Ovis aries: one gene and its partners. The protein of the gene in region 3 interacts with the protein of the main gene of each other region in a pairwise test. Links are inferred from orthologs where the notes say so. Each region holds a gene or a part of one and is shown on either strand. Other genes may lie near its edges. The genes, in order: PIAS3, RNF40, UBE2I, HNRNPC, SETDB1, TRIM38 and E3 SUMO-protein ligase ZBED1.

Region 1 (4,091 bases), on a different chromosome or scaffold from region 3:
CAGGAGAATGGTGAGAAGGAGGGCAAAAAAGAAAAGAAGAAAGTCAGAGAGCGGAGTCTCAGGGTAACCACCCAAGGATGAGGCAGGAGGACTCAAAGAGACAAACCTGGAAGTAAGAATCTGCTGCACTTGCTGGGGGGTGAGGGCAAAGGTGAAGTGCGCTTCCTCAAACCGCTGGCTAGAAGTGGATGCTGAGGACACAAAGGGGCAGTTATTCCCAAGCCCGTGCCCAGGGGGCCACAGAAGTGGCCCCTATTCCAGTTTGCTGAGCCCACAGGACAAAGCCTAAGAAAGGCTTGAGGAAGAAGCAGGGAGGCCAGGAAGACCCAGGGACCACAAAGAGCCATACCTAGGGTGGTGGGCCGGATGAGCTCCCCGTAGATTTCATAGAAGGGCAATGGTTTCATGGTAACGTCAGGGTGCACAGGCTGGGGCAGAGGAGGGTGCATGTCCACTTCACGCTTGGGGCCCAGCAGGGTGCCAGGGGCCAAGAGGGCCGGGGGAATGGGAGCCAGAGGACCAGGAGAGCCTACAGGAGGGGTTCCAGGGGGCAAGGAGAGCAGAGAAAGATCAGAGGGCCCCAGGGTCTTGCGGGGAAAGCGTCGGCGGTAAAGCTCTTTGATCTTCATCTGGACGCTGGGGGCACAGCTGGACTTGAGGAGGTGTAGGGCCTTGGCCAGCAGCTCGTGCTTCCGTCCGCTCTTGTTCCGGCCAGCAAAGCCGAGGAGCACCTGGAGCTCAGACACCCGGAAACTCATCACCATGTGCTGTGGAGATCAGAGAAGCTTGAGGATCCTACCTTGCACAGGCCTGTCCTGCCAAAGACACCAGGGCTGAGCTATTAGGTGGGGAATGTGCTTTCCCTCCAGCACTGATCTGAAAGATGCTTTGCAGCCAGTGGATTGCTGCCAAACTGCCCACCTAGCCAAAAGGACATCTAGCTCCCATCCTAGCAACCCTCAGGTCACCTCTCCACTACCCCCCCAGGCTTGAACAATCCTGTCTCCCCATCTTATCAGCTGACCATGTGGGCGCAGGGTGCCTGCCACCCTACAGCACACCTCTGAGTCCACTACAGCCTCCTCCCACCACCCTGCCTTGAGCCTGGACTCTCCTTTAAGCTGCTTATCTCCTCTCCTGCTCTTTCGCAGACTCTCAGACCCATCCTAGCCTCCTGGGAAGGGGACAGGAGACGGGGAGGAAGGGGAGAAGAGGATTCAGGCCAGACAGCCCCACAGAGAAGAAAGGGGCCAGGTGGCTGGAGGACTGTGCCTCAAAATCAACTCCTTTCCACCCCTCAATCTACCTCAGCTATTTTCCCCAAGCTTTTGTGGCCAGGTCAGGGTTCAATGCTTATAACTTCCCAAACCTTTCCTTGGTGTTATTTACATAACTACTCATCCCTCAGTCCTATTTTTTCTGGGAGAGAAACAGGAGTAAAACTTGGGGTGAGGGGTTAACAGTGAATTGTGGAGTCCAGGTATCCTTCCTGTTTACCTGTTTACTCCATCTGCCAGGAACTAATAACCTGCTTCTCTCCTACCCAGAGAAAGTAAGTGATTCTTCCCTTCCTCCACAGGGGTGGAAGAAACGAGGGGAAAGCTCTAAAGAGAGCCCCTGGAAGAATAGGGAGGTGATCAGCCCCTGAGCCAGACTGCAGAACTGCATGCTCTCCTAGGAAACTGGAACCAGTGACTAGACCTCAGGCCTTCCCATGACTCTGGTTCCATTTCAAAAGGCAGAATAAAGCCAGGAGCAAGGGGGTGAACCCCATGGTTTTTAAAGGTTCTGCAAGATGGTTATTTATCCTCAAGATTCTGGTAGTGGTAAGCTCTCCGCTTAAAGAACTCACTTCTGTGAATCTCCAGGAGACCCTGCCACGGGCCAATCTTGCTAATCATCTGCAATTCTTATGGAGGCATTATGGCTTTGGGCCCCTTTTGAGGAATATAATTAAAAACTTGCTCCTCTACCTTTACCCTCATCCTTATCTCCTCGGTCCTGTCTTTATTTCTCCATTAGCTTTGTCAAGAAATTCTTTTCAATCCCATAGTCTAACACTTCTCTCTCTCTGCCCAGAGATACCGACTCACTAAGGCAGGACCTTCCTCTCAGCCTCCAGGATGCTTCTGCCCCACCCCTTCGATCTATCCCCGTACAGCCCCGCCCCCTAGATCTCAGCCACCTACTGGTACTTCCCAAGGCTCAGATCCCAACAGCAGCCCCAAAGTCACTATCCTCTCAGCGCCTTTCCCCCAGGAGCCTCCCGGTAATCGGCCCCCCAGCCCCATTCCCATCACCTGCCCCCTACTGTCACCTCTCTAGGCCTCGATCGACTCGCCCGCTGTGCCTCCACAGCAGCTTTTCCTCCCCGCCCTACCCCTACATCTGCCCCTACTACCAAATTCGACTTCTACCCCGCGTCCCCGCCCCCTGAGCCTCGGCCCCCAACAGCTGCAATTCCCCTCGGCCCCACCCCTACATCTGCCCCGCGGCCCCGCCCCCGGAGCCCCACGCAGCCCCTTCCTCGCCACAGCCACTTCTCTCCATCCCCAGCAGCCAGTCCCCACCACGTCTCCAGCCCCCACCCGAGCCCTCAGCACCCAGTCTCGGTCGCTTCCCAGACTCGGCGTACAGCCCGGCTCAGTCCAGATGGGGATGGGGGAGGGGGCCGGTACCTTTAATTCGCCCAGCTCCGCCATCTTGAGACATCGCAGGCGCCCGAGCCCGAGCCGGAGCTCAGGCCCAGGGACCGGCGCACAACTCTCCACCCCGGCGCCGGCCGCAAATGCCGCCTGCTCCGCCCCGTCCGGCCCCCTACACCTCCCCTTCCCGGCCCCGCCCGCCGGGTTTCGGACGAACCCCGGCCTCAGCCCCTCCCTCCACAGCCGGACCCAGCCGCTGCACGTCTTTGGCCGCGGTGCCAGACCCGTAGACCCGGAGGGAGTGTGCCGCCCGAAGGATCGCGGGGTCCCCGGTGGCATGGGAGAGGAGGTGAACCCGAAGTACATGGGGGAGGGGGGCCTTGCCACGCCGGAGTCGGGAAGGGATGAGCTTTGAGAAAGCCAAAGATATTTGGGATATGGAGGGAAAAGTCTCGAGAAGGGCTTAATCTCAGAGAAATGGGGGAGGGGGAAGCGAAGTTGGAGCAAACCCCCTCGTTTCCCTATCTACAAGTTTAACCAGCCAAATTCAAGAGTTCCACCAACTCGGGAAATGGGTGAGACCTGATCCATTTTAGGGACGCCAAGGAGTCGTAAATAGTTTATTTCAAGACGGCTATTCTCAATTCTTCACCCCCTCCCCCCGCCCCGGTTACATTGTATTTCATGGTCCCGCGGCAGGGCTCAAATTCGCCAGCAAAAAAGTTTCGTGCCGAGAGTGGGACTTACCAGCACAGTTGCAGGGAGCGGGGAGGGGACTCGGGACGCTCAGAGGGTGGGCTGGGGAGATGGGGGGGAGGGGGCCCGGCGCTGCTCCCAAGGTCTGCACGGCTGGAGGTCGGTCCGGCAGCTGGACGTTGCAGCCGCAGCTCCGCCCGGGCGGGAGCTCGGCCCGGCCCAGCGCTAGGGTTGGGGCCGCCCCCTCCTGGATGAGCCCGCCAGGACAGCGGAGAAGTGGGGAGGGGCGGAGTCTGAGACGGGAGAGGGCGGGACTCTGAGCCTGCGGAGGAGAAATTAACTCCTCTAGGGAGTGGATGGGAGAGACGTTCTTTGATTTCACCATTCTCACTACTGTTCTGACTCCCTGCAAGCAAACCCTTCTATGTGTTTTGAGTGGAAGTAAGCTGCAAATAAGACGGTGTGGACCAGAAATCCGATCGCTTAAAGAGGTAGCTACTTACAGTGAGTCTCTCCCTACGGGAAAGAAAACATGAACTGCTAAAATCCGAAGTGTACCTAAACCCTACTTCCACCTGTGGTCCCCTACTCCCTACCTCAAATACACAGACTGTCACCAGAGACTTAAGAGCTTTAATGTAGTTGAAGGTGAATGGAGGGGAGGTTTTCTCACCGAGAAAGGGCAATTTTTCTGCCTCTCTCTGAACTGCCTACTCTCCTTCCTCCAAAGCCATAGACCCAGTTCCCTTG
Region 2 (3,500 bases), about 26 Mb from region 3:
AGACGCAGGCCTTGACCCCGGGGGCCCAGGGACCCTCTTCCCGGGGCCGAGAACCTGAGGCCAGACCCAAGCGGGAGCTTCGGGAGCGAGAAGGGCCTGTTCTGGGACCCCCATCTGTAGCCTCGGCTCTCTCAAGGGCTGATCGGGAGAAGGCCAAAGTGGAAGAGGCCAAGAGAAAGGAATCAGAACTTCTCAAAGGTCTCCGAGTAGAGCTCAAGTGAGGTCCTGTTCTTTTCTCCCTCCCACCCCTGCCCAGTGACCTCCAGCCCTACTCACCCAGCCTTCCTCCTGTGCCTCCCCCAGGAAGGCCCAGGAAAGCCAGAAGGAGATGAAATTGCTGCTGGACATGTATAAGTCTGCGCCCAAGGAACAGCGGGATAAGGTGCAGCTCATGGCAGCGGAACGCAAGGCCAAGGCTGAGGTGAGGACAGGTAGGGTCTGTGGGATGTGCAAAAAGGCTGCCCCAGGGCAGGGAGTCGGTGACCAGAGTTGAGCCCTGGGTTAGCAGGAAGCAGTGATGAGAGAGCTCCCTCCTGGAGGTTATAGGTTGATGAACTCCGGGGCCGCATCCGGGAGCTGGAGGAGAGGGATCGGAGGGAGAGCAAGAAGATTGCGGACGAGGATGCCCTGCGGCGCATTCGTCAGGCAGAGGAGCAGATCGAACACCTGCAGCGCAAGTTGGGTGCCACCAAGCAGGTGCGACCCCCCACCCCACCCCACCCCTCCCCTAGCTTTGAATGTTGGCATTCCTTAAACCTCCTGGTCTAGCACATGGCCTGGGTCCACTCTGGGGGTCTTTGTACAGCCGTGTTTTCCTGCGGTTTCCCCATAGTTGATCTTGTCCGTCTCCCACGTTCCATCTTGCCCCTGCCCACTTGCTGCAGGAGGAGGAGGCCCTGCTGTCAGAGATGGATGTGACAGGCCAAGCCTTTGAGGACATGCAGGAACAAAACGGGCGGCTGCTCCAGCAGCTGCGAGAAAAGGACGACGCCAACTTCAAGCTGATGTCAGAGCGGATCAAAGCCAACCAGATTCATAAGCTGCTGCGGGAGGAGAAGGATGAGCTGGGCGAGCAGGTTCTTGGCCTCAAGTCCCAGGTAGGGCTGCCCCAGGCTTGGTAGGGTGGGACTGGAGAGGCAGGGGTTCCCTAGCACTGAGGCCCCACTCCTGTCCTCAGGTGGATGCCCAGCTGCTGACCGTGCAGAAGCTGGAGGAAAAGGAGCGAGCCTTGCAGGGCAGCCTTGGGGGTGTGGAGAAGGAGCTGACACTGCGCAGCCAGGCCCTGGAGCTCAACAAGAGGAAGGTGAGGCAGATGACCTGGGCCAGGGCCTGGCTCTGCTGCCCTACACAGCCCCGTTCACTCTCAGACACTTAATGTGTGCCAGACCCTGTGCTGAGGACTTTCCCTGTTGGGTCATGTTTCGCCTTAAAGTAATCCTACAGCAGTTTTCATTGTTATCTCCTTTTCTGTGAGGGAGAAGGCTGAGGTTTAGGGAGGTAGTTGACTTGCTCAAGAAAGAGTGGAAGTGGAATTTGGGCCCAGCTCTCCTTGACTCCACAGCCCATATCCTGACCACTGCACTGTTTAGCTGTCTCTGTTACATAGTTGTATTAACCCTAAGAAATGTCTCTAGCTCGTGGTAGTTGTTCTTCTGAGGGGAACAGAGTTAGGAATGACATCACTCCTCCAGGTCATAGTAAAGGCTTAACATGGATTTTCATCTCTTTTCTTCTCCTGGACTTCTCTCTGTTTGGTCCATTCGTTTAAGCAGCATTAGTCATGCTCTTGCTGTGTACCAGTACTGCACTGAGTGCTGGGGAGATCACAAGAACAAATCACCTCTGCTGGAAGTGGGAGCTTCCAGTTAGGAGGGGCAGAGAGCAAGCCGATAATCCCACAGATTAAGTAACACTGTTTCAGATCACAGCATGTCTTTGTTTGGCTGCAATGCACGGCAGCAGTGAAGGCCCGGAATTCTAACCACATAACCGCCAGGAAACTCACAGCATGTCTTATGAAGGAAATAGAACTGTATGAAAGGAAAACAGGAGAGCCTCTCTCAGGAGGTGACATTTGAGCTGAGGCTTCAGGGAACTTCAGAGAAAAAGTCTGTGTGTTGGCGGAGTTGAGGGGAGCAGAGAACCCTGTGGAGGCTCAGAGACAGGAGAGAGGGTTATGCAGGTCAGGAGCCAGAAGTGCTGGGAATGAGGAAGACGAGGAGGTGAGGCTGGTGGGGTCAGGAGACAATCGGTTTCAGTGAACATATTGGGACTACTCCCAAGAGCAGGAACCACTGGACAGTTGACATAAGCCTCTGTGGGCCATGGCTCCACACACTTGATTCCCCAGGCTCAGGCCAGCTGTGCCCCTCCTCCCCATTCCACCCACCTCAGGCTGTGGAAGCAGCGCAACTGGCCGAGGACCTGAAGGTGCAGCTGGAGCACGTGCAGACACGGCTGCGAGAGATCCAACCTTGCCTGGCCGAGAGCCGGGCCGCGCGGGAGAAGGAGAGCTTCAACCTCAAGAGGGCTCAGGTGTGTGGTCGGCAGGGGGTGGAGGCAGGGCCGGGGCCAGCAGGTTTGGATTGAGGACCCTTGCACTCAAGACTGCCCCCTCTCCTGCCCCAGGAGGACATCTCCCGGCTGCGGCGCAAGCTGGAGAAGCAGAGGAAGGTGGAAGTTTACGCAGACGCTGATGAAATCCTCCAGGAGGAGATCAAGGAATACAAGGTAGGGCTGTGGAGCTAAGTTCTGCCCCGTGAACCTGGGAAATCTCAGATTGGGGGTTGGTGAGAGCTCCAGGGGGTAGTCCGGGGAACCCAGAAATAAGGTAGGATAGCAAAACCTGGGCAGAATCCATTGTGGAGAATCAAGAGAGCTCTCAAGTGTGGTGCACATATACTCCATACCAGGTAGAGTGCTGAGTGTGGGAGGAGTGGGACCTATACCTGACCTTGGGTCTCTTGAAACTGACAGTCTGGTGGAGGAGGCAGCCAAGTAATTCTTCCCTCTGAGTGATGAGCAGTGTGATGGCAAAGGCCAGAGGGGTTGGGGGCAGTCAGGGGAAGCCCTTAATAGCCCCTGAGCACAGTGGGGAGTGGGGCACGGTCAGCCAGCTTCCTGAAGGCATAGCCTCCAGGGGAAAACGGAAGAGAGTCAGGGTTGGCCATGAGGGATGGAGATGAAAGGGTCCAGCAAACGGAGAGGTGGAGGTGGAGGCCCCTAGTTGAGCGAGGCGTGCTGGAGGCGCAGCTGGACAGCGGTAGCTAAGAGGACAGAACTTGGGCTTTTGATGAGTCACAAGCCTGGGGGGTGGGGAGGGGCCATCCTGAAGGTTAGTGAGCCAGGTTGAGATTCTTGGTTTATTCAGTAGTCAGTGTGGAGACATCCAAGGGTTTTAGGCTGGAGAGTTATGTCTCAAGTATATTGAGGATGAGGTACTTACTCGTGGGACTTCTGGGGAGGCTGTCTGGGAGGACAAAGCGAAGGGCTGATGTGGA
Region 3 (3,971 bases):
CAACACAAGGGAAAGCGAGCGTGAAACTCTAGCTCCCACGCAGGAGGCCTGGTGACAGGAGCTGCTGCCCGGCTCTGACCACTGAGGACACTCTTCAAAGGCTCTAACCCTGCCCAACCTCAAGATCAAGTCCCAAGCAAGAAGGCCCACACCCCAAAGAGAATTTCTCTTTGCCACCCCCGAACCTCCAGTCCTGGCCCGCTCACCTCCTCCTCATCTGTGGACCTGATGGACAGGACCCTGTCTGGGGTCTCCTTCCCTACACGTGCACACCCATCTGGTATTTTCATTCATTCATGTGATATAAGTTGAAGACCACAAGTGCGGCTGCCCGAAGGCTGACGTGGGCGTGCTGGTGCCCCTGGGTCCTAGTGGTGGTTGCTGGCCACCTGGGCACTGCCTGCAGCACCAGACTGTCCACAAACAGGACAGAGTGGGAGATGCTGGGGTCACTTCCCTCAGGTGGGGAGCTGGCAGAGCAGAGGGGAGTGCCAAGCAGCTTTCAAGTCCATGGGAACATGAGGGCAGTAATCCTGAAGCCTGAAAACCCTTCACTTCACATCACCCTTCTAAACAGAACTTGCCCCCGCCTCATCACCAGGGCAGATGGGAACGCCTCTCCCTCCCCTGGTGGGGGCTTAGGGATGTGCGGAAATCCTACAGGAGCCCCTCACGGGCCAGGACCACCTCTAAACTGTCCCACACGGGAGCTCAGTGGCAGAGACAAGCAGCCTGGCTCTCCGTGCACTGTGAAGTTCCTGCTGAGTCTGCGCTCAGCAAGGCTTCAAGACTGGTTCCTGGAGCCTGGGCAGCACATGGGTTCTGGAATGGGCAAGCTGGCACTCGAGGGCTCTGGAGCGGCATGGCTAGGCCAGGATGTAGAAAAGGCCGGTGGGGTGATCCTCAGTGCCGCATGCCTGCTGACCGCATGCCAGGACCCCGCCACAGGCCACCTCTTCTACTGACAAGGAACAAAGCCGCCTCAGCAGACCCTGTTGGGGCGCCAGCTGTGACTGTCTCAGGTGCAGAAAGTAATGGGAGGGGTGTCCCACAAGAGCTGCTGCAACCCCGTCCTTGGGGGTGAGAACCAAACTGGGCACCTGAAAGACAGATGCTGCAGCCATGGCGGAGTCACAGGCGCACACCTGCCCCCGCCCAGAGAGAGGCTGGCCTCGCTGCCCAGGAGAAAGCAGCCAATTTGCTACATTTTAATTACAACACGGAACCACTCCTTCAGCATCCCACTTAGAATCCAATCAGCTTTTCCCAACTGACAGGGAGGCACTTAAGGAGCTGTTAAGTGTGCGCAGTCTTCAGGGCAGCAAAATCACTAAGAGGCAAAGATCGGGTATCTATGACCTGCTAGAGACAGCCTGAAGCACAGGATCCGGGTCTGGGGCAGACCCTTGAAGTCTGCAGCCACCCTTCTCCAGCGTGGGCTGTGCTTGAACCCACGCTTCTCAGATCAATCTCTGAAGCCACTTACCGGCTGCAGGTGAGGGCCAACGGCTTCCCTCTTCCCCTTCAACCTTCTCACCGGTAAAACGGGCGATAGCACTGTGAGCCCAGAGGTCGGCCCAGGATGAAACCGATAGAGGCTCGCGGCCCTTGGTGGGCTTTCCCACCCAAACGTAAGCTCGCCAGGAGAAGGAAGGCACTGGCTTCACCTGCGCTCAGGAGATCCTCCAGCCCAGGGGCACTTCCCTGGTCTTTCCTGACACGCCTCCCAGGACGCCCAGCTGTTTCCAAAGCAAGCCCAAACCCCCAGCGAGACTCACGTGCAGCACGATGCAGAATTCACCCCCAACCCACCCAAAATCAAGTCAGCACAAACGTGGGCTCCTTCTCCCCCTGCTGCTGGGCAGGTTCTCCGTCCAAAGGCAGTTTCCTTGGGAGCAAGAAACACAGAGGACCACGGGCTTAAGAGCAGACCAACGAAAGCCAACTCCGCAAACCGGGGAGAAACTGCCAACGGAGCTTGTTTTCAAATCGTACAAACCAAACCAGTTACTTCTGTGATTCAAGGACAGCTGCTGGCCGTTACCATCAGCCCAGCTAATCATTCCCTCGCCTTCCTCTTACTCGCGAAAACTATCAGCTCCAGCCGCCGTGCAATTGGTATAAAGCGGTCTTGGGACGAGATCTCCCCGTCAAGGGAAGAGCGAACACTCGGTGGGTCCCCCGCAACGGCGAGCGGAGCTCGGAGGCGCAAGAGCTCTGGCTTGTTTTCGTTTCCAGGCATCACACGCCACCCCCAAACGCGCCGGCGCTCCTGCAGCGCGCGGCTTTGCACTCTTTGTGCAGCGCGTCCTCTACCAGGCTGGAACGCGCCACAGGTTCGCGCGCAGACCGTGACCCCGGAAACGCTCCGCCTGAGCGGAGGGCTTGGCGCTCCTGTCAGCGCGGCCCGAGCCGAGCGCGCCGTCGGCCGCCCCGGACGCGACTCGCCCCGAGCGCGCGCCCGGAGAAGACGCCCCCACCTCGCGGGCCGAGGCCGCGGCGGGCCGGGGGCCGGGCTACCCGAAGGGAGCCCGGCGGGCTGGCCCCCGCCGCGGCGTCAGCAGCCCGGGGCGGGCCGGTCCCCGGGAACGGGCCGGGCCGCGCGCGGAGGGCGCCTGCCCGGCCGGACCCGCCGGCAGCGGAGTTTTGGGCCCCCGCGGCCCGGCGCCCGCCCCGCGGCGCTCACCTCGGGCGGCCCGGCCCGGCGAGCGAGGCGTACTAGGCGGCGGCGGCGGCGGCTGCGCTCCCTTTGTCTCGGGACTTCCCTCCCGAGCCCGCTCCGCGCGCAGCCCGAGCGCTCGAGGACCCCGGCGCGGGCGGGGCGGGGCGGGGCCTGCGGGGCCTGCCCGCCGCGCGCCTGGCTCGCACCCCGCCGCCGCCACCGCCAGCCCCGCGCCGCCCGCGCCGCCGAGCGCCGCCCGCTGCCCGTGTCCCGCCGCCGCGCGCCCGCGCCCCGGGCCCCGCTCGGGAGCCCGGCCCGGAGGCGGCTTTCCAGTCAGGCGGCGCCATGGACACCTGCGTCCTTAAAGGGGCCGCGTCCCGGGTGTGAGGGAGCGTCTGCAAACTCCCCTTCGCGGGGCACTGTTCCTCGCGAGGACCGGCCGGGTAGCGGCGGGGAAGCAGGGCGGCCGAGATCTCCCCGGGCTCTCCGGATGCCCCGCGGGCACCTCCCCAGGCAGCGGTCCCGGAGGTCTCCTCGAGGCTAGGGCCCGGGGCGGAGGAGCAACGACCACTGAGGCCTAGGGATCCCCCAAGCGTCGCAGCACGGTGACAATCTCTCGCCTACGGCATGCTGTGAAACCCCTTGCGATTGGCCAACTCGGGGCCCTGGGCGGGGCATCCGTCTAATGTGCCCAATGAGCAGGCCCCGTACACAAGACCAAGTGCGGGCCCGACCGACGGGAGGAGAAGTGCAGACGCTCCCTAACCCAGGGGCTGGCCTGGGGGGAGGGGCGCCGGGTGGTCCGGGCGGGTGGGGGAGGAGCAGGGGCAGGGCTAGGCCCCTGTGGCCGGGGTCTCAGGTCCGCCCCGAACCCACGCGCGAACGCTTGTCCTTCCCGGCCACGCTGGGCGCCTCTCCGTCTAGCGGCCCCCGACCCCCGTCCCCTGGCCCAGAGTGGGAAAGAGGGAGCGTTCCAAGGTCAGCCCCTCCGCCCGTGGGCTCTTTGGGGTCAAGTGGCGGGAGGTGACCGCCCCCCCACCCCGGCCCCCAGCTTGCATTCATTCACCCCTTCGCCCTGGGTCTCCTCCTTCCTCCGTTTCCTTCCATCCTCCCCACCCTCACCCCCGGCAGCCCCCTATTTGGCACTGTACTGAGACTATTGGCCTCCAGGGCAGACCGCCCAGCACCGCCCCCCCCCCCCCCGCCCCCGCAAGGCTAGTGTCCCAAGGCCCACGTCTGGGCCAGAGCTCTCAGCAGGTGTTCAGCGCTCCCAGCCCGTCTGTTACAGTGAGGATGGTCACTAGCCCTG
Region 4 (3,500 bases), on a different chromosome or scaffold from region 3:
CACACATACTCTTAAATTAGGAAAATGTTCCTGTCATACCTACTTGCCTTGTTAAAACAGAATAGAAACATTTTTATATTGTTAAGGTTGAGCAGAAGAAAGAAATGTCTGTGAGACTGCAGAATCAATGTTCTCACTGCCAGGATTGGAGACTGTTAGCTACTGATGAGGCATATAAGAGGGAGATGCATCACATTATATAAGGGTTTTAAAATTTCATCGCTTTGAAGTTAGGTGGGGGAACAGTTGGTGGATTGTTCCTTGGCCTTGGAGTCAATAAAGTGGTTCAGAACTAGAATTATTAGTTTTTTTTCCTACTGGTACGTTTTAACTTATGCCCTACAGGCTTTCGTAAAAAGAATAACATAGAATAAAAAGACTTTCTGGAACTAATGTCCTTGTGGGAAGGTTTTTGTTTTATTTTTTTCTCTTTACAAATGTAAGCACCAGTACCATGCCATCACTTTGGTATATCTTTAGCAGTCACAGGAATACTTACTCAGTGGAAGCAGCAGTTGAAAAATATGTAATTTTTGAGAGCTAAATGTGTGCTGAGCAATGAATTTAGGCACTAGTGAATGGTGAACAAGATAGACAATATCCTCTGTTGGAGCTTTGAGCGGAGCTTATGCTAAATGTTGTTAGAATTGATAGTGGTATGTACACCCAGCTAATACATATGAAATGCCTGTTTCTATAGGCCAAAAGCAGTTAATCATGGAAGTTTTATATGGTTCAACCTAATACTATAAACTAGTGATAAATATTTGTATGCTTCTGTGGATGAAAATGCCAGGGATTTAGCTAATAAGAGCACTGTTTGCAAAGTTGGTTAATTGTAGTCATTTGTGAGTACTTTATTTCCTTATAATACTGTAGCACATATATGAAAGGAATAAGATGAAAGGCAAAGGCCATTCATTGCAAAAAGTAAGGTTCTATCAATAATGCCATTGTACACAGGAACCTTTATGTCCAGAGCTTAAGGCAACCATTGTGTGTATGTGTGCGGTTGCAGTATTAAAAAGAATAAATTGGCCTTATGAATGAAATTAACATAGCAAAAAGAATTAATTGCTAGACAATTGACAATAATATATATCATTTTATAAGGATACAGTTGTTGGAATCTTCCTGACTTCTTTGTGAAGAAATTCTGTTTTCCTTTTATCCAATAGGATGTACAGTTACCCAGCACGTGTTCCTCCTCCTCCTCCTATTGCTCGGGCTGTAGTGCCCTCAAAACGCCAGCGTGTATCAGGAAACACCTCACGAAGGGGCAAAAGTGGCTTCAATTCTAAGAGTGGACAGCGGGGATCTTCTTCTAAGTCTGGAAAGTGTAAGTATTATTACTGCAGCTTTCTGGTTCTGATATTTCTTGTATGTTGAAATTCAGAGATCAACGCAGTTAATATTCAAAACTTTTATGTTTGTACAAATAACTGTTTAATCAAATAATGGAAGATGAGAAAATAGTGATTAAGGGGTCAGCTCTAGGCAGCCTTTGTCCTTAAGGCCTTGGTAATTTGAAAAAGTCATTAGATTTTAAGGAGTTGCAACACCCATTCAGTGTATAAAATAATGTTTCTAAAACTAGAAAATGCTTTAAAATAGAATTGAGGGGGTTTTTTTTAGCAGGCTTACAAAAGTAATAATGCTGCTCCTAAGGGAATAGATTCATTAGATTCCATTTTCATCTAATAATCAAAAGATCAGTGAGGCGCCCCCCACCCCCACCCCCACGTCATTACTAGGACAGTCTGGTATAGGCTCCATTTCTCTTCAAGGATCTCATGTTGACTACCATTGTATAGTCTAGAGGGGGAATGTGTTTGGTTATCTGGTAGCTTCTAGTATATCTGATTTTAATCTAGGTTTTTGTTTGTATTAAGTGAAAGGAGATGACCTTCAGACCATTAAGAAGGAGTTAACCCAGATAAAACAAAAAGTGGACTCTTTACTGGAAAGCCTGGAAAAAATTGAAAAAGAACAGAGCAAACAAGGAGGTAAGTGGTCCTATTGCTTGTTGGGTGTAAAGTAGAGTTAGTTACCTAAGCTAGTTGCAAGTACATGTTGAAATAGTGGGGTATAAAGCAATTGAATATGAAACTTGTGGAATTTGAATTGGGAAGGGCATTTTGTGGGAGGATTTAGATTTGTGCTGCAGTTCTATGATCTGTTAGTGGGGATTGTCTACATCCTGTGGACATTACTTGCCCCTAGACAGACTTGTCCTTCTCATCCCCAGTAGAGATGAAGAATGATAAGTCAGAAGAGGAGCAGAGCAGCAGCTCCCTGAAGAAAGATGAGACTAATGTGAAGATGGAGTCTGAGGGGGGTGCAGATGACTCTGCTGAGGAGGGGGACCTACTGGATGATGATGATAATGAAGATCGGGGGGATGACCAGGTGAAAACCACGGGAAAGGAAAGAAAGAGGTGGTGGAGGGGGGATCAGGGACACATGGAGTGCCTCTAACTCCATCCTATTTGTGTCTGTTTCTCACAGCTGGAGTTGATCAAGGATGATGAAAAAGAGGCTGAGGAAGGAGAGGATGACAGAGACAGCGCCAATGGCGAGGATGACTCTTAAGCACATAGCGGGGTTTAGAAATCTTGTCCCATTATTTCTTTACCTAGGCGCTTGTCTAAGATCAAAATTTTCACCAGATCCTCTCCCCTAGTATCTTCAGCACATGCTCACTGTTCTCCCCATCCTTGTCCTTCCCATGTTCATTAATTCATATTGCCCTGCGCCTAGTCCCATTTTCACTTCCTTTGACCCTCCTAGTAGTTACGTTAAGTCTTACCCTGTAATTTTTGCTTTTAATTTTGATACCTCTTTATGACTTAACAATAAAAAGGATGTATGGTTTTTATCAACTGTCTCCAAAATAATCTCTTGTTATACAGGGAGTACAGTTCTTTCCATTCATACAATAGTTGCTTCCCTAACTACAAAGGCAGTCTCATTAGTTGAGTAGAACCTGAGAGCAGCTTTGAGTTAGAGGTATGTGTGTTATACCCCACATAAGAGTGCTGTGTGGGGCTGTTCAACACAAATGTAACAATGTATTTTTGTGAATGAGAGTTGGCATGTTAAGTGCATCCTCTAGAAAAATAACTAGTGTAATAGTCTTAAGATTTGTTTTCTAAAGTTGATACTGTGGGTTATTTTTGTGAACAGCCTGATGTTTGGGACCTTTTTTTCTCAAAATAAACAAGACCTTATTAAACCAGGAATTTGGAGAAAAAATAAATACCCTGATTTTTTTATTTTTGTATTTTATAATTGTTTACTTCAAATTCTTTGTTTCACAGCAGCCTTCACAAAACCCCTAGAATGTACTAGATAAATATCTTTGAGTCAAAATTATTATGCATACCAACATACACTTCAACTTAGGTTTCATTGGGGTGGGTGTTGAATCAAGGAGACAAGTAACTTGGATTGAAGTGGAGATTTGTTTGCAAAAATGGCTTTTAAGGCCTAATGAAAAA
Region 5 (2,507 bases), on a different chromosome or scaffold from region 3:
ACTGGCTCTCTCTGATTAACTTCAATAGTTTATTTTTTAAATAATTAAGTTGTAATACCTTGAACTAGATAGAAATGAGCTCCCTGAGAGGAGAGATCATGACCTTTTCCATTGCTGTGTTCCCACTGTCTAGTACAGCTCTTGGTGTTTAATAAATGTTCGCTGAATAAAAGAATGAAAATCAGTACCAAAAGCAAGAGTCCCATGAACTTCCAGTTCCTCATCTTTTGCTCCCTTTCAGTGTCTACTATATGGGCTTCTGATTTCCTTAAATATATTTTATTGTATCAGTTTCTACAAGCTGACTTATTTTAACGGCTCTTAATCTATATTCACATCCTGGTTCACTTAGCTTTTCTCCAGATGTTAGGCATTCTTTTATTCACTGTTGCTGTCTTTAGTGCTATATCTGTATTAATCACTTTTCCCCCTTCTGAGTTATTTCTTTGAGCTATATTTCCAAACAAATCGAAGAGCATAGACAGTTCAGTAAGTCTACTTATTTAGATCATCGCCTGATAAATGATGACACCTTAAAAATTGTAACAGTTCTGTGAATATAACAGATGCTCTAGTGATCATGATATGATTGATTTTATTGTGATCTCCTCCCAGAGTTTATGAGTGTAACAAACGCTGCAAATGTGACCCTAACATGTGCACAAACCGGTTGGTACAGCATGGCCTGCAAGTTCGTCTGCAGCTCTTCAAGACCCAGAACAAGGGCTGGGGTATCCGTTGCTTGGATGATATTGCCAAAGGCTCCTTTGTCTGTATTTATGCAGGTTGGTGATGAAAGGGTTTCTTTCTGGGGTTAGAACATGGTGGAACGTTGAATCAGAGACAAGTTGAATTTAAGAATAAAATGCTTAACCTGTGAACTAGGAGAAAGAAGACAGGATTTTCTTCTATAAAGAACATGAGTGATGCCCCTGTCTGGGTGAATCCGGAAGGGTCAAAAGTGCTTCAGGAGAACAAGAATGAAAAGGGATAAAATTGTGGACATGTTTCAACAGAGAGAGACATGGTTTTAGAAAAACTGACATGTGTCATTTTTTTCCTACATCACTCCACACAGAGATTTAGCATAACTTAGGAAGAATGGGGTGGCAGAACGGGCAAGATCTAAAGCTCCCCTTACTCTCACCGTTAAGACACTAAGGAGGAGGTATCATCAAAGAGAAACAAGAGACCATAATGAATGTTATTTGACTCTATAGTATGGGGCTGGGTATTGATGAAATGAATTTTATTCTTTCTAAAAGCTCCTCATAACCCTGGAAGGCTTTCTCTTCATTCCCAGGGAAGATCCTGACAGATGACTTTGCTGACAAGGAGGGCCTAGAAATGGGTGATGAGTACTTTGCCAATCTGGACCATATTGAGAGCGTGGAGAACTTCAAGGAGGGGTATGAGAGTGATGCCCCCTGTTCCTCTGACAGCAGTGGTGTAGACTTGAAGGACCAGGAAGATGGCAACAGCGGTACAGAGGACCCCGAGGAGTCCAATGACGACAGCTCAGATGACAATTTCTGTAAGGACGAGGACTTCAGCACCAGCTCGGTGTGGCGCAGCTATGCTACCCGACGGCAGACCCGGGGCCAGAAGGAGAATGGATTGTCTGAGATGTCTTCCAAGGACTCTCGCCCCCCAGACCTAGGGCCCCCACATATTCCTGTCCCTCCATCAATCCCTGTAGGTGGCTGCAATCCACCTTCCTCTGAAGAGACATCTAAGAACAAAGTGGCCTCGTGGTTGAGCTGCAACAGTATCAGTGAAGGTGGCTTTGCTGACTCTGATAGCCGTTCATCCTTCAAGACTAGTGAAGGTGGGGAAGGCCGCACTGGGGGAGGCAGAGGGGAAGCTGAGAAGGCTTCCACCTCAGGGCTGGGCTTCAAGGATGAGGGAGACATCAAGCAGGCCAAGAAAGAGGTAAGCAGTGGCAGGGAACTCGGAGAATTGTGGCGGTTATATAAGTTTGATGTGGTGACAAACTTAATGCAATCTCACCATGAGACCATGAGTGCTTTTGTTATTGTTTTTGACCATACCACATGGCTTGGGGATCTTAGTTCCTTGACCACGGATCGAACTTGTATCCCCTGCAGTGGAAGCACAGAGTTCTAACCACAGGATACACCAAGGAATTCCCTCACCATGAGTCTTCATATGCAGATAATTTATTTGATGGATTTCTATGGCAAACCTGATTAATCTTCCCCCTAATACATTCCTATGGTGGTGTGGTTGCTAAGTCATGTCTGATTCTTGCAACCCCATGTTTGTTTAAAGAACCAAATTATTTTACAGTCAGCCTGCTGTGGGGAGAGTACCTGATTCATTCCAAAGTGGAGGATTTAAAAATAATTTTTTAAAACTGCTACCTCAGTTTATCTACATCGTTGCTTTCATTATAGTAGAAAAACAAGAATTGATCTTAACGTATTTTTAATGATGTTGAAACTTACCACATTACAGGTGGTGAACAGTCCCCTGTCCTTGGAATA
Region 6 (3,500 bases), on a different chromosome or scaffold from region 3:
GAATGCCATTCCTTTTTAAGACTGAATAGTATTCCACTGTATCTATAGATTGCATATCAGTTCATCCATCAATGGGCATTTGGTTTGTTTCCACTTTTCCTAACTCAAGGAGAAGATAGAGGTTCGGAAACAAAAAATCCAGTCTGACTTTAAGACTCTCCAGAGCTTCCTTCATGAGGAAGAGAAGTCTTATCTATGGAAACTGGAGAAAGAAAAAGAGCAAACTCTGAGGAGACTGAGGGACAATGAGGCCAATCTTGAACAGAAGAACCATGAACTCCAGAGCCACATCCTGGAGCTAGAGAATAAATGTCAGTGCTCAGCCCAGAAATTGCTTCAGGTAAGACCATGCACTTGGAGTAAGGAGGGAAGGTATTTGTTCTTGACCTTTCAGCAGGAGAATGGTGAGGAACCATGGGAAGCTTGGTGAGGCTTGCCTGTTTCACTCAAAAATGGCACATTAGTGTAGGGAATTTAAATTTAATGTTCCTTTTAGATACATATCAATGTTTGCAAGGTGGCCCCCACCAGTCTATAGAGTGCCTTTAGCTGAATTAGAAATAATATGGCTATAGTGGGCTCCTTGGCTAAATGGAACCATGGGACAACTTTGGCTACCATTTATTTCTGTACCATGTTTACAAAACTCTGACTGTGAAAGTGTCTGCTGAAATACCCCTTCAGATGACTGATGGGTGACAAAGTGGGACAGTCAAAATGAGTGATTACTTTTTCCTTGATTTGCTTGTAGAGCCCTCCAGAGCTCTTTTGGATCCAGCCCATTACAATAAACTAAACTATGACTGTAGCTGTTTTATCCTGTTCCTACTAACAGAACTAGGGGTCACCCTGTAAGGATGAGAATGTAGTTCGATGCCCTACCACCATGTGATACCTGCTGCTACCACCATAGTGGCCCAGTCTCAGGGCTTAAGCCTGGGTTCACTACTTTGGACCTTTGCAATAAGTGTCTCTAATATGGGCTCACTCTGAAGGAAATGAGGTCACTGAAAGCAAGTCTTTCCAGAGGGAGCATGGGACAAAGCTCCTGGCCTTCTTCCACATAGCAAGGAAAGTAAACACCCTGATATGCTGACTATTCCATGGGGCCAGGATGGAAATCATCATCTCTAGGTATTCATCAATATCTAAGTCCAGGATTAGTCTTTTTTACTTCTTTGGAAGGAGTATTAGAGAGAACAGCCTCACATGCCAAGTCCCATGAAATACTGATGTTCCCACACTTATCTTTTGTCTTTGTCTCTTCATAGGATGTGAAAGATACTTTGAGCAGGTGAGTCCTATATGAGTTCAGGAGGGAAAGAGGTGTGGGTATACAGAGTTAAATGGAATTTACACTGAAGAAGTTTTGGTTTCTGCTTATTCTAGGAGTTGGGCTGTGAAGCTAGAACAACCAGAGGCCCTCTCTTTGGACCTTCATACTGTGTGCAATGTTTCTGAGCTTTACTTTGATGTAAAGAAAATGTTAAGGAGACATCAAGGTATGTGAAGAAGCCCTAAATGCTACAGATAGACGGGACCTTAAGTGGTAATGAAGTTCATCACCTGTCCCCAGGCAGGCTCACAGCCAGAGAGGTTATTCAGGTATCTTTAGTGTAGCTGTCATTCTCCCTTGTTAGTTTTCTCCAGTGCTTAGACAGGGACATGGGATACTGGTTATCTGTGCAGACCCAGTTGGGTCCTTTGCTTAGGGTCTCACAAGGCTGCAGCTAAGGTGTTGGCCTGGCTGTGTTCTTATCTGGAAGTGAGACTGGGAAAGAATCCTCTTATAAGCTCACTCAGGTTGTTGGCAGAATTTATTTCTTTTGGGTTTGGCACTTAGGGCCCTAGCTTGTTGCTGACTACTGGCTGGAGGCTGCCTTGGATTCTAGAAGCCACCCTTCAGCTGCTTGCACTTGGGCCTCCCACCTCGGCCAATTATTTCTGCAAAGTAAGCTACAGGGAGAGAGAGTCCCTAGAGCAAGTCTGCCAGAAAGAGAGAGGCTTATAGAGTGAAATATAGTCACATCTCATCATTATTGCCATAGCCTACAGGTTGGAAACAATTCACAGGTCCTGCCCACAATCAAAGGGAAGGAATTCCATAAGAGTATGAACACTAATGAGGGTAATGAAACTATGAGCCATGTCATCTAGGGCCACCCAAGATGGATGGGTCATGGTGGAGAGTTCTGACAAAACGTGGTCCACTGGAGAAGAGAATGGCAAACCACTTCAGTATTCTTGCCTTGAGAACCTCATGGACAGTATGAAAAGGCAAAAGGTAGGACACTGAAAGATGAACTCCCCAGGTTGGTAGGTGCCCAATATGCTACTGGAGATCAGTGGAGGAAAAAACTCCAGAAAGAATGAAGAGATGGAGTCAAAGCAAAAACAACACCCAGCTGTGGATGTGACTGGTGATGGAAGTAACGTCCAATGCTGTAAAGAGCAATATGGCATAGGAACCTGGAATGTTAGGTCCATGAATCAAGGCAAATTGGAAGTGGTCAAACAGGAGATGGCAAGAGTGAACACTGACATTTTAGGAATCAGCAAACTAAAATGGACTGGAATGGGTGAATTTAACTCAGATGACCATTATATCTACTACCATGGGCAAGAATCTCTTAGAAGAAATGGAGTAGCCATCATAGTTAACAAAAGAGTCTGAATTGCAGTACTTGGATGCAATCTCAAAAACGACAGAATGATCTCTGTTCGTTTCCAAGGCAAACCATTCAATATCACAGTAATCCAAATCTATACCCCGACCAGTAATGCTGAAGAAACTGAAGTTGAATGGTTCTATGAAGACCTACAAGACCTTCTAGAACTAAAACCCCAAAAAGATGTCCTTTTCATTACAGGGGATTGGAATGCAAGAGTAGGAAGTCAATAAATACCTGGAGTAACAGGCAAATTTGGCCTTGGAGTACAGAGTGAAGCAGGGCAAAGGCTAATAGAGTTCTGCCAAAAGAATACACTGGTCGTGACAAATATCCTCTTCCAACAACACAACAAAAGACTCTACACATGGATGAATATAGAAATCAGATTGATTATATTCTTTGCAGTCAAAGATGGAGAAGCTCTATACAGTCAGCAAAAATAAGACCGGGAGCTGGCTGTGGCAAAAATCATGAACTCCTTATTGCCAAATTCCGACTTAAATTGAAGAAAGTAGGGAAAACCACTAGATCATTTAGCTATGACCTAAATCAAATCCCTAATGATTATACAGTGGAAGTGACAAATAGATTCAAGGGATTAGATCTGATAGACAGAGTGCCTGAAGAACTATGGATGGAGTTTCATGATATTGTATAGGAGGCAGTGATCAAGGCCATCCCCATGAAAAGGAAAGGTAAAAAGGCAAAATGGTTGTCTCAGGAGGCCTTACAAATAGCTGTGAAAAGAAGAGAAGGGAAAGGCAAAGGAGAATAGGAAAAATATACCCATCTGAATGCAGAGTTTCAAAGAATAGCAGGAGAGATAAG
Region 7 (4,213 bases), on a different chromosome or scaffold from region 3:
CTTTGCGACCCCAGGGACTGTACCGTCCATGGAATTCTCCAGGCCAGAATACTGGGGTGGGTAGCCTTTCCCTTCTCCAGCAGATCTTCCCAACCCAGGGATGGAACCCAGGTCTCCAGCTCTGCAGAAGGATTCTTTATCAGCTGAGCCACCAGGGAAGCCCCCCAAAGGCACTTTATTTGACAGTCAAACAGAGAGGCAGGGTCCTGCGGGCAAGCCACTGAGTACGATTATAATAATAAAGGGGCTCCCCTGGTGGCTCAGACAGCAAAGAATCTGCCTAGAATGCAGGAGACCTGGGTTCGATCCCTGGGTCAAGAAGATCCCCTGGAGAAGGGAATAGCAACCCACTCCAGTATTCTTGCCTGGAAAATCCCATGGGCAGAGGTGCCTGGTGGGCTACAGTCCATGAGGTCGTAAAGAGTCAGACAGGACTGAGCGACTTTCTTTTTTTTTCTTCTTTTTCTTTATAATAATAAAAACCGAGTCAAAGAAAATAGCTTCCAACATGGAGTCAGAATTGGTGACTTCCTCCCTGTAATATTTCCACATTAATTATTGTATACTGTGTGCACATTTATATAGGCCATACATACTGTTAAAAAAGAAAACATCTGATGTTTAAAGGCAAAAAACAGAACTCCCCTGGTGGTCCAATGGTTAAGACTTGGCCACTTCAATATCGGGTTCAATCCTGGGTGGGGTTGCTAAAATCCCTTATGACTCAGGGACCAAAAAACCAGAGAAACATAAAAACAGAAGCAACGCTGTAACGAATTCAATAAAGACGTTAGAAATGAAACAAAACAAAACAAAATCCCAGCTAGTCTGCATCTGAACTGGGCCTCTGGGTTACAGTTTATTTAGCTGCATACCTGGGCAAAGTTCAGTGTCTGGCCCGCCAGGATCCTCTGTCTGTGGGATTGTCCAGGCAAGAATACTGGAGTGGGCGGCCATTCCCTTCTCCACGGAATCTTCCCCACTGGGATCGAATCCTGGTCTCCCGCCTTGCAGGCAGACTGTTCGCTGTCTGAGCCCCCAGGGAAGCCCGCAACCTCCCCTGGGTGCTCTGCAACTTAGGGGCAGTGTGGGGCAAACATGGGACTGCTCTTCAGAGCCCTTCACTGTTTACAAGTCAGCCCAGGTGCCAAAGCTGCACTCTGCCTTCCACTCTGCCTTCCTCTGCAGTCTTTTCCAGTCATGCTCCGTGTGCTTTTTAAAAAACAGCACCAAAATGCAGTTTATCAGAAAACTAATCGCTTAGCTCAACATAAACCTGCGAGATGTATCTCCCCGGGTGAAGACCCAGGGAGGGTAGGAAAAAAAGTGCTCAGAGCTGCAGGTGTGCAAGGCCTGGGCCCTGCTGGGCCTTCCTGCAGGTGGAGGCACGGGAAGGCATTTGCACAAGCATAGTAACAGCCTTTCTGTTTTTCCACCCCAATCTCCCGGGGGTGGCCAGGGTGGTCAGGGGCGTTACCCACAGGCTGCCGGGTTGGGGGGGAGGGCGGTGTGGGCTATGCCAACACCCTTGAAAACCCAGTTGGACTTAAGAATCTCTGTCTCCTCTTACCCCAGATAATAAAGAGAGTCATTACAAGGTAACGGGACACCGCGCTTCCCAGAGAATACTTTGTTTCCAAAAGTAGCTGTTTTTCTCCTAAAAAAATTGACATGTCATTTACGGCACACAGACCCTAGAGTTATTTTGACACTCTGCAAGTCAAGAACAGACAGAAACACCGGTTTCCTCGATCGAAGTCCTGAGAACACCGAGGTGACCAGACAGACGGAGACTCCCTCCCAGATTGGTGGGGAAGGGAGGTGGGGGGGGGGTCCCTAATATGCGTGAAGACGCGAATGGGTCCCCGCACCGCCAAGATTGGGCCCCGAGGCTCCGCGCAGGTGGCGCAGGCCAGAGAAACCGGCGGCCACTAAACTGAAGCTCCCCTCTCCAGGGCTCCTAGACCCCCTAGAAGCCGCCTCCAGCCCCTTGGCGCGCCCCCCAACACCGCCCCAGCCCCCCAGTCCCTGCAAACCCGGGCAGGCCCCGTCCTACTGGAGCCCGCGCGGGGCCGGGATCTCGCCCCCCCGCCCCCGCCTCCCTCCGGGATGCGGGTCTGCAGAGCGCAGGGACCCCGGGGTGGGGTGGGGGGGCTCCCGCCGTGGTTGGGGCGCGCACGGATCCCCTGGAGAGACCCCAGCCCCCGGGGCGCTGGGGAGGGCGCGCCTTCCCCCAAGCCGACCCCCGCAGGCCGCCCGGCCCGGCTTCCGGGAGCGCCCGACGCGGCGCGCACGAACCTGCGACCCCCGGGCCAGGGCGCGCGGGACCCCCTGGCTACCCCGGCCCCCGGGGCGCGCGCGGAGCGGGCGGGGCGGCGGGGAGGGCGCGCCTCCTCCCCCCGCCGGGCCGCCCGGGCCTGCTTCCGGGAGCGCCCGACGCGCCCGCCTCCCCGCGCCCCTTCCCAGCTCCGCCCCGAACCTGGGGGTCCTCTGCACGGGCGGAGGGCGCGCCCCGGGCCCGGCGACGCGGGCCCCCGCCAGCCCCCTGCCGCAGCCCCGCCCGCGCCGCGCGGCCCCGGCCCCTCGCCGCCGCTCCCCGGCCGCTGACCTGGCTCCACGAAGCCCCGCACGCAGCGACGCAGCAGCTGCGCCACGACCAGCGCCGCGCCCACCGCGTACACCCGCAGGGCCGCCCGCGCCGCGGACAAAGGCGACATGGCTGCCCCGCCGCCGCCGCCGCCGCCGCCGCCGCCGCCGCCGCTTCCGCGCCGCCGGCCGGACTCGGAGCCCCGGGCCCGACGGCGGAAACGCGCCCGCGCCGGCCCGCCCCGCGCCGCGCCCACGCCCCGCCCCGCGCGCGCGCGCCCCCGACTCCCGCCCCGCGCGCGCCCCCGCCTCCCGCCCCGCGCGCGCCCGCGCCCCCGCGCGCCCCCGACTCCCGCCCTTCGCGCGGCCCCGCCCTGCGCGCACCCCCGACTCCCGCCCCGAGCGCGCCCCCGCCCTGCGCGCACCCCCGACTCCCGCCCCGAGCGTGCCCACGCCCCCGCGCGCCCCCGACTCCCGCCCCGCGCGCGCCCCCGACTCCCGCCCCGCGCGCGCCCCCGCCCTGCGCGCACCCCCGACTCCCGCCCCGAGCGTGCCCACGCCCCCGCGCGCCCCCGACTCCCGCGCCCCCGCTCCCCGCGCGTCCCCGACCCTCCCGAGCGCGCCCCCGCCCTGCGCGCGCGCCCGACTCCCGCCCCGAGCGCGCCCACGCCCGCGCGCGCCCCCGCCCCGCGCGCGCCCCCGACTCCCGCCCCGAGCGCGCCCACGCCCCCCCCCGCGCGCCCCGGACTCCCGCCCCGAGCGCATCCCCGCCCTGCGCGCGCCCCCGACTCCCGCCCCGAGCGCGCCCACGCCCCCACGCGTCCCCGACTCTCCAGAGCGCGCCCCCGCCCTGCGCACGCCCACGGCCCGCCCCCCCGCGCGCGCCCACGCTCCCCGCCCTGAGCGCGCCCCCGACTCCCCAGCGCGCCCCCGCCCCTGCTCGCGCCCTGAGTCCCGCGCGCGCCCCGACTCCAGCCCCGCGCGCGCGCCCCCGGCTCTCCCGTGCTCCCCAGCCCCTCCTGCACGCGCCCCCGTCTCGCGCGCGCGCCCCCGACTCCCACCCCCCCTGCCGAGTGCGCCCGCGCCCCAGCCTCGCCTGCCCGCGCCCCCGACTCCCGCCCCCCGCGCGCCCCCGCCCCGCGCGCAACCCCGACTCCCGCCCCGAGCAAGCCCCCGCCCCCACGCGTCCCCGACTCCCCAGAGCGCGCCCCCAACTCCCGCCCCGAGCGCGCCCCCGCTCCACTGCGCACGCCCCTGATTCCCACCTCGCGCGCGTCCCGGACTCTCCACGCGCGCCCCCGACTCCCGCCCGGCGCGCGCCCCCGCCCCGCGCGCGCCCCCGCCCTGCGCGCGCCCCCGACTCCCGCCCCGAGCGCGCCCCCGACTCCCGCCCCGAGCGCATCCCCGCCCTGCGCGCGCCCCCAACTCCCGCCCCGAGCGCGCCCACGCCCCCACGCGTCCCCGACTCTCCAGAGCGCGCCCCCGCCCTGCGCGCGCCCCCGACTCCCAGAGCGCGCCCACGCCCCAGCGCGCCCCCGACTCCTGCCCCGCGCTCGCGCCCCCGCTCCCCGAGCGTCCCCGACCCTCCCGAGCGCGCCCACGCCCTGAGCGCGCCCACGGCCCGCCC

The links.
Region 1: the proteins of UBE2I (region 3) and PIAS3 interact in a two-hybrid assay, tested with the Homo sapiens proteins (2 studies listed by BioGRID and IntAct). The link is inferred for Ovis aries from reciprocal best matches to the Homo sapiens genes UBE2I and PIAS3.
Region 2: the proteins of UBE2I (region 3) and RNF40 interact in a two-hybrid assay, tested with the Homo sapiens proteins (2 studies listed by BioGRID). The two-hybrid records come from large-scale screens. The link is inferred for Ovis aries from reciprocal best matches to the Homo sapiens genes UBE2I and RNF40.
Region 4: the proteins of UBE2I (region 3) and HNRNPC interact in a two-hybrid assay, tested with the Homo sapiens proteins (2 studies listed by BioGRID and IntAct). The two-hybrid records come from large-scale screens. The link is inferred for Ovis aries from reciprocal best matches to the Homo sapiens genes UBE2I and HNRNPC.
Region 5: the proteins of UBE2I (region 3) and SETDB1 interact in a two-hybrid assay, tested with the Homo sapiens proteins (2 studies listed by BioGRID and IntAct). The link is inferred for Ovis aries from reciprocal best matches to the Homo sapiens genes UBE2I and SETDB1.
Region 6: the proteins of UBE2I (region 3) and TRIM38 interact in a two-hybrid assay, tested with the Homo sapiens proteins (2 studies listed by BioGRID). The two-hybrid records come from large-scale screens. The link is inferred for Ovis aries from reciprocal best matches to the Homo sapiens genes UBE2I and TRIM38.
Region 7: the proteins of UBE2I (region 3) and E3 SUMO-protein ligase ZBED1 interact in a two-hybrid assay, tested with the Homo sapiens proteins (4 studies listed by BioGRID and IntAct). The link is inferred for Ovis aries from reciprocal best matches to the Homo sapiens genes UBE2I and ZBED1.

The regions. Positions count from the first base shown.
Region 1 is NC_056054.1:99,195,480-99,199,570, forward strand, and holds the start of PIAS3 (E3 SUMO-protein ligase PIAS3), read right to left. Parts: upstream 2,801-4,091; 5' UTR 2,703-2,800; coding exon 2,679-2,702; intron 816-2,678; exon of another isoform or gene 768-815; coding exon 350-767; intron 192-349; coding exon 107-191; intron 1-106. UniProt on the Homo sapiens protein: Functions as an E3-type small ubiquitin-like modifier (SUMO) ligase, stabilizing the interaction between UBE2I and the substrate, and as a SUMO-tethering factor.
Region 2 is NC_056077.1:27,407,019-27,410,518, forward strand, and holds part of RNF40 (E3 ubiquitin-protein ligase BRE1B), read left to right. Parts: coding exon 1-217; intron 218-303; coding exon 304-421; intron 422-546; coding exon 547-696; intron 697-884; coding exon 885-1,097; intron 1,098-1,177; coding exon 1,178-1,303; intron 1,304-2,394; coding exon 2,395-2,535; intron 2,536-2,628; coding exon 2,629-2,730; intron 2,731-3,500.
Region 3 is NC_056077.1:1,566,025-1,569,995, reverse strand, and holds the start of UBE2I (SUMO-conjugating enzyme UBC9), read right to left. Parts: upstream 2,801-3,971; 5' UTR 2,687-2,800; intron 2,323-2,686; exon of another isoform or gene 2,083-2,322; intron 1,860-2,082; exon of another isoform or gene 1,779-1,859; intron 1-1,778. UniProt on the Homo sapiens protein: Accepts the ubiquitin-like proteins SUMO1, SUMO2, SUMO3, SUMO4 and SUMO1P1/SUMO5 from the UBLE1A-UBLE1B E1 complex and catalyzes their covalent attachment to other proteins with the help of an E3 ligase such as RANBP2, CBX4 and ZNF451.
Region 4 is NC_056060.1:24,263,353-24,266,852, forward strand, and holds part of HNRNPC (heterogeneous nuclear ribonucleoproteins C1/C2), read left to right. Parts: intron 1-1,178; coding exon 1,179-1,339; intron 1,340-1,892; coding exon 1,893-2,006; intron 2,007-2,248; coding exon 2,249-2,409; coding exon of another isoform or gene 2,410-2,478; exon of another isoform or gene 2,479-2,508; coding exon 2,509-2,592; 3' UTR 2,593-3,500. UniProt on the Homo sapiens protein: Binds pre-mRNA and nucleates the assembly of 40S hnRNP particles. Interacts with poly-U tracts in the 3'-UTR or 5'-UTR of mRNA and modulates the stability and the level of translation of bound mRNA molecules. Single HNRNPC tetramers bind 230-240 nucleotides.
Region 5 is NC_056054.1:100,911,274-100,913,780, forward strand, and holds part of SETDB1 (histone-lysine N-methyltransferase SETDB1), read left to right. Parts: intron 1-615; coding exon 616-785; intron 786-1,303; coding exon 1,304-1,932; intron 1,933-2,507. UniProt on the Homo sapiens protein: Histone methyltransferase that specifically trimethylates 'Lys-9' of histone H3. H3 'Lys-9' trimethylation represents a specific tag for epigenetic transcriptional repression by recruiting HP1 (CBX1, CBX3 and/or CBX5) proteins to methylated histones.
Region 6 is NC_056073.1:30,919,585-30,923,084, reverse strand, and holds part of TRIM38 (E3 ubiquitin-protein ligase TRIM38), read left to right. Parts: intron 1-109; coding exon 110-340; intron 341-1,271; coding exon 1,272-1,294; intron 1,295-1,389; coding exon 1,390-1,502; intron 1,503-3,500. UniProt on the Homo sapiens protein: E3 ubiquitin-protein and E3 SUMO-protein ligase that acts as a regulator of innate immunity. Acts as a negative regulator of type I interferon IFN-beta production by catalyzing 'Lys-48'-linked polyubiquitination of AZI2/NAP1, leading to its degradation.
Region 7 is NC_056080.1:6,131,382-6,135,594, reverse strand, and holds the start of E3 SUMO-protein ligase ZBED1, read right to left. Parts: upstream 2,801-4,213; 5' UTR 2,718-2,800; coding exon of another isoform or gene 2,609-2,717; intron 1,956-2,608; exon of another isoform or gene 876-1,955; intron 1-875. Other genes in the region: dehydrogenase/reductase SDR family member on chromosome X, read right to left, coding at 2,609-2,717.